2 linked regions of the Oryzias latipes genome follow. The protein of the gene in region 1 binds, or shares a complex with, the protein of each later gene. Links are inferred from orthologs where the notes say so. Each region holds a gene or a part of one and is shown on either strand. Other genes may lie near its edges.

The links.
Region 2: the proteins of slc3a1 (region 1) and slc7a9 are in contact, whole or in part, in a cryo-EM structure (PDB 6LID), measured with the Homo sapiens proteins. The link is inferred for Oryzias latipes from reciprocal best matches to the Homo sapiens genes SLC3A1 and SLC7A9. Residues at the interface, in NP_000332.2 of Homo sapiens: Pro64, Tyr65, Ala66, Gly67, Met68, Pro69, Lys70, Leu73, Phe74, Phe76, Ser77, Tyr82, Pro85, Arg86, Phe90, Thr93, Val97, Leu100, Ile101, Ala103, Thr104, Ile107, Ile108, Ser111, Cys114, His201, Asp202, Thr373, Glu374, Pro375; in NP_001119807.1 of Homo sapiens: Cys137, Phe140, Tyr141, Val142, Gly143, Cys144, Pro147, Ile149, Val150, Cys153, Leu154, Ala156, Ala157, Leu160, Phe161, Thr164, Leu168, Thr279, Thr281, Asp295, Arg296, Tyr299, Tyr343, Val346, Arg347, Lys467, Thr470, Met471, His472, Gln474.

The regions. Positions count from the first base shown.
Region 1 is NC_019873.2:16,356,218-16,358,790, reverse strand, and holds the end of slc3a1 (neutral and basic amino acid transport protein rBAT), read left to right. Parts: coding exon 1-106; intron 107-573; coding exon 574-775; intron 776-889; coding exon 890-1,072; intron 1,073-1,193; coding exon 1,194-1,319; intron 1,320-1,416; coding exon 1,417-1,848; 3' UTR 1,849-1,958; downstream 1,959-2,573. Other genes in the region: prepl (prolyl endopeptidase-like), read right to left, coding at 2,077-2,154. UniProt on the Homo sapiens protein: Acts as a chaperone that facilitates biogenesis and trafficking of functional transporter heteromers to the plasma membrane.
Region 2 is NC_019861.2:25,752,197-25,756,029, reverse strand, and holds part of slc7a9 (B(0,+)-type amino acid transporter 1), read right to left. Parts: intron 939-3,833; coding exon 791-938; intron 1-790. UniProt on the Homo sapiens protein: Associates with SLC3A1 to form a functional transporter complex that mediates the electrogenic exchange between cationic amino acids and neutral amino acids, with a stoichiometry of 1:1.

The sequences.
Region 1 (2,573 bases):
GGGACCTTTTTCATGATTACACCACAAGTCAGGTTGGCTTGCATGATATCTTGCGTGAGTTTAGGGCTGAGATGGAACCCTACAGTCGCGAGCCTGGAAAATACAGGTAATTCAGCTAATTTATCACATTTAACTATAATGTAAAGGTTGAGGGAAACATTTCGTTTTAAATGTAATAAACTTTCTGTAATGTAATAAACCTTTAACTGAAAGGACTTTGGTCAAGCAAATTTGTATCTTTACAATGTTATCATTAAAGAACTACCAGAATTTCAGTCAATAATTATTGAATATTTTCATTTTCTAGCAATGCATTGTCCTATAAAAATAAGTAAAGATGCATGTATTGTGCATTCCTGAAAATTATAATTTTATTGTTATAAATCAAAGCATCCTATTCATACTGAATGTGAGGATGGGTTTGGAGATGCTGTTTTTTTGTTTTTGTTTTAAGATGATGGATGATTGATTCAAAAAGGTTTTGTAGAATTGATAAATCTACAAACAGCAGCAGCCATCACTTCAAATAGGTACAGTTGAAATTTTCGCTGATGCTGTAATTCTGTTTCACAGGTTCATGGTGACAGAGTCATATGATTATGAAGAGGTGGAGAAGACCATGATGTACTACGGGACCCCCCTGGTCAAAGAAAGTGACTTCCCCTTTAACTTCTACTTGCTGGACTTGCCTCAAAACGCCAGCGGTTTGTGGGCTAAACATCTAGTTGACCTTTGGATGTCCAACATGCCCAGAGGAAAATGGCCCAACTGGGTGGTGAGTCGCACCAACATTTCAATGGCTTTCCAGCTGATTTACTATTCCTATTCATTTTGATTTCCTATTCCTGCTTCATTAGCTGCTGCCTGTATTTCCCTCAACCTCACACAGGTGGGAAACCATGACAGGAGCCGAATTGCTTCCAGTGCTGGTAAGATGTATGTGCGCGTCATCAACATGCTGCTGCTGACCCTTCCTGGCACCCCCACCACCTACTATGGAGAAGAGATCGGCATGGAGAACATCAACATCACAGCAGACCAGGTTCAGGACCCCTTTGGCAAATATAACCTGGTCAGTATTTTGCTAGTATTAAACAAAACAAAAGTCTCCAGTCTTTTGGATTGCTTTTATTAAAAATATAGAAAAGGACTATGTGAGTGGGTGCCAAATGTTTACTGTGCTTTCTGTGCAGAGCAATAGTCGGGACCCTCAGCGCTCTCCCATGCAGTGGAACAGTGACATGAATACAGGCTTCAATAACTTAACCAACATCACGTGGCTTCCTGTACACCCAGATTACAAAAGTGTCAATGTGGAGGTGAGGAGCTTTTTAAGAACAAAACAAACATCTGACCTGAACGGGCTTAAATTTGCCTTCTGTTGATCACATCTGCTTTCCAATCCTTTCCATCCAGGTCCAAAAGGACAGTGAAGGATCCACAATGTTTCAGTATAACTTTCTGAACAGCCTGCGGCAGGCAGAGCTTCCCTTTTTGCGAGGCTGGTTCTGCTACGTTCAAGCTGATGCAAACATCTTCTCGTACCTTCGAGAGCTCGACGGTCACAAAGAGGCTTACCTTATGGTGCTTAACTTTGGTAAACAATCTGCCACAACAGATTTGTCCTCTGTTCGTGAGCTGCCGGACCAGCTGAAGGTACTGATGAGCACCAACTCCATCAACAATGGAAAAGTCTTTCAGAAGTCTGGCATCCAGACAGAAGCCGGAGAGGGTTTGGTGATTCGATACTCCACCTACACTCGCTTTCATCCCAGTCATGCCACAGAATGCTATGTCTCTGAGAAAGCCTGCTACCTGGACACCGTTGGGATTCTTTATAAATGCTAAAATAAATGAACAGCTGTCGTCAGTTATTCTCAAACTTGATTCAAATACCAGTAGTTCAAAAATTCATGTTCCCTGGAATACAGTGAAGAATAAAGTTGCACAAGCATTTGCTACCGATGTCATCTGTTTTTCAACAGGCTTGTCACCGATTTTTGTTGGATTATGTCTTGTTCTGGCTGTAATGACAGATGTTTGGTTTTTATAGCCAACTGGTTCTTGACATCGTGGCTATCTTTTCCTTTTGCGTGAGAGCAGTGGACGATCCAGGCCTAATTCTGTGTACAGAAATGCAAGCTTGAGCGCTTCCTGTTTGCAGAAATAAGAAGAAAAAAATATCAGAGACATGAACTTTGATAAATTTGGGCAGAAAAAGTAAAATATGACTATAGTAAACTTAACATACACACATTGCCAACTCTACCGGGTGGAAAAGCTTGAAATATTCTTTAAGATTTGGTTGAATGAAACGCTACTTTTAAATTGAAAATATTTGCAACTTTTTAGAAAATACGTTTTTATAAAAATGAGGGATTCTAAAAACTTTTTACTACCTTTTAAAGCCACTTCTAACAGAATGAATGCCTATTTCTGTCATACTGGCATGAACTTTATTCTAACCCAAACCATCTTAAATTCACTCTGAATTATACTTCTGAGGATCTGTCCATCAATGTCAGCCCATCTGTTGTGTGACCACAGCTTTGGTAATGGTTAGTTCCTACTTC
Region 2 (3,833 bases), on another chromosome or scaffold:
TGCTACACTAAAATTACTTTTTTAAGCATGCCACAGTGGGATTTTATGGTCTTCATTAAACTTTGACTACCAACTGCAGTTCTTTCAGAAATAAACTTGCAAAAACAAAGATGGTCTAAATGTGTGTGTGTGATCTTAGAGTTTCTAAGAATACTGGAACTATGGAAAAAATAAATTGTGCAAAAGAAGAGAAAATTAAATTCATGTGGTAATAAAAGTTATGATCAATTGTCACATGAAAAAAAAGATTATATATGAAATTATGAAGTATTTCATGTGAGCCGCCCAAGTCACCACATTGACTCATTCAGCTTTAGATAGGACAGAAAAGAGAAGATCTGGTTTCTTCATGTGTTCTTTTTTTCTTTCGCTCTGGATTGGTGTCTCATCTTTGACCTCGGTCACAGCTAATCATCTTGTGGTGTCATAACATGGGACAGCAGCAAAAGTTACTGAGATTCCCCACAGCCATTCTACCTACTTTTAGAAGTGCAAGGCCAGCTGTGACCCAACAAAACATTGACTAAAAAAAACAATTGCATGTTAATAAATAAATGGTATTAGGGGAAAAATGCCTAAAAAGTTGGGTTTTCTAAATTTCCTTCAGACATTTCTTGATCTCTGGATAATTGGTGATAGATTACCCCATGAACAGGCAAGTTATGAAAAACTGGAACTTCTTGCTTTATATACACATCTAGGTACTAGGATTTTTAAAGAGAAAACTAAAAGTTAAATGTATAAACAGCACTTGAAATCATAAATATTTCTGGAACAAAGTCAGTCTCACCTAAAGTGGATAACACTCCACAGGCTGTCCAGATGAGGAGGCAAGGTCCCACAGATCCAGAATAGAGCAAAACAGACTTGGGAGAAATGAAAATCCCTGAGCCAATCATGGTTCCAACAATTAGACAAATCCCACTCAGCAGGCCAACCTGAGCACTCGCAAGGCAAGGTTAAAAAAAACACAGAACAAGAAGAAATATGTTCAGTTGTCATCACTGCAAGAAGCTGTATGTTTGAACACTTAGTGTACATTGAATGACTTCATCTTAGTCTACATGTCTACAAGTCTACTATTGCAATCATTTTCCAACGTCAAGATCAAATTAGATGAAGGCAGGGAGGGTCTATGGAGCCAAATCGGGGAAATAAAAGATCTGAAACCCATAAATAGTATAAAATAGTATAAAATAACTTGAAAAATTCAAGCTGAAATATTGGTGTAAATCTGAAAAAGTGTCTGAAACTATCTGCAAAAACTTCAATATTTTCAGCTTCAAATTTTCTGTTTTTAGGTTTCAGTTTCAACATTTTTTTTTTTTCACTTTAAAATTTTTTTTCTTTCTTTCTTCAATCTAAAGGTTTTTAACTTTTGTCCCCTTTCTGGCGTGTGGAGGCGGGGCTTAGATGAAGGACTAATCAGAATGATGAGGCTGGAAGCTTTCGGCACGGTGCATTCACTAACAATGGAAACTTGGATAATTACGGACAGAATAATAAAATACTTACTATTGAAATGGTCATTGTGAACAAAGTGGCCACAATAGACTTAACTAAGCTTGTAGTAGAACTGAAGGAAGATTCAGACACCAATAACACCCAGATCAACACCCAAATAAAACCAAAGAAATTGCTTTATTTGGCTTTCAAATCTTTATGGCCTGGATTAGTCTCCATAAGTGTACAAGAACTATCAGCGCACAAAGTTTGAAGGGCCTGCATTCCACCAAGTTGAGCAGTGTCTTGACATGATATTTATCTTTGTGCAATCTTGATTTAGTGATAAACCATTTACTACATCTTGCATAAATGAAACTCTTTTTTTAACTTCATTTACAACTTTATGATCAGTAATTGGTGCAGCAACTTGAGCGGCTCAGTTTTGCAATGGAATAAATCAAAAGTATAAATCCAGATGAAGTTCTTTGCGTGACAGATGATGATTACCGCCGTCTGTGTGTGTGTGTGTTTTATTGGGTTTAACAACTAGAAAGGTTTATGTTTTAAAAAACTGTGATATAAATTATTGTCATGTGCTGGATGGGCTTTATCAATTTCACCTGGTTAAGTAACATTGATGCAGCATAACAAATGAGAATCTAGAGTATTTTTAAACCAAACACCATCACACTGAGTATGATGACCAGATATATGTTGCAACACTATATCTACTAAAGTAGTGGGGCAAAAAATACTTGCTGATCTATGAGTTGTTCGACAAAAAATGAAAAAAGGTCTGTAATGTTTATCATATAGAAACTAACTGTGAGAGACAGAATGTAAAAAAAGAATCGAGAAAATCACATTGTATGTTTTAAAAGAATTTATCTATACAAAGGTGCAGGCGATACATATTTTTATATTAATATTCAAACTGGCTATCAGTAACCAAAGATCTGTCCAAGGACACTAAGATTGTACAACTGAACAGAACTAGGCGGAACAAATCTACAATAAGGAAGCAACTTGGTGAGACGAAATCAACTACAAAAATCATTGGCAGCTTCCTCCTACCTGGGGCTCCATGCAACCTCTCACCTGGTGGGGTACAAATTATTCTATGAAGGTAAGGAAAGATCTCAGAACTACAAGGGAGGAACTGATAATAAAGACCATGTAATAAAGGAGTAACACGCTAAATTTTCATGGATTAAAATCCTGCTGTACTCTTAAGATCCCCCTGCAAAGACACGAACATGTCCAGGCCCATTCAAGGTTTCCCAAAGACCATCTGAATGATCCAGAGGAGGAATGGGTGAATGTCGTGTGGTCAGATGAGACCTGAGTTCCATTTCAAGAACACCACATCCACGGTGAAACATGGAGGTGGAAACATCATGCTTTGGAGCTGCCTTTCTTCTAAGGGAACCAGATGACTGATGCATTTTAAGGAAATGAGGAATGCGTCCATGAATGCTAAGATGTGGGGCAAAAATCACCTTCCATTGGTGAGCCCATTGAGGATGAAACGTGCCCTGGTTCCAAAATTACAATGATCCCAAACATAACAGACAATAAAGGAGCGGCTACAAAAAAAAAGCTTCCCAAGGTACTTGAGAGGCCTGGCCAGTTTCTGGACCTAAATCCAGTAAAGAATCTGTGGAGGGAGTTGAAAGTCTGTGTTGCCCCAAAACATCAGCTTCATGGAAGACTGGACCAAGGCAGCAGGTGCACTTTGTGCAAACCTGGTAAAGACCTACAGGAAACGTCAGACCTAATTGATAACCAGGATTACCTTACTAAGTATTGCGGTGAACTTTTATTGTTGACCAAGTTCTTATTTTTGTACAATTATACCAAGATTTTTTTTTTAAATCTTATAATTACAATCATTGAGCGAAAAAACACTTTTTACCCCAACATACACATTTGTGAGCACACATTACATTTTTGTTTAAAATGTCTAAAACCCCCAACCTTCCCAAATCCCCACACGCTGGCAGTTCACTATATTTCAGTCAATTACCCATTTGAATGGGCAGCATCCTCATGTATTTCTACATAGGAAATGTATCGTTGGAGGAGCAAAGTAGTTTGTTCTGGCCATATGTGGGGTTAGCTTGCAGTTTCCAGTAATCATTTATATGTTTTTAAAGTCATGATGTGCTTTTTGTAGCCTTCAAAATAATTGAATTCCAATCTGATCTGTTGGACAAGACCTTAGGAGTAAAATGTGCTCCGCAAGTGTACTGGGGGTTTCAGGTGTTGCATCTGATAATGTAAAAATATTTATCTACTTTTTCATAAAGTGAAAAAGAAATAATTTTGGTGCTAATAACAATTACAAATACAACTCTGCATGCGCAAATAAACAAAATTTGGCTAAA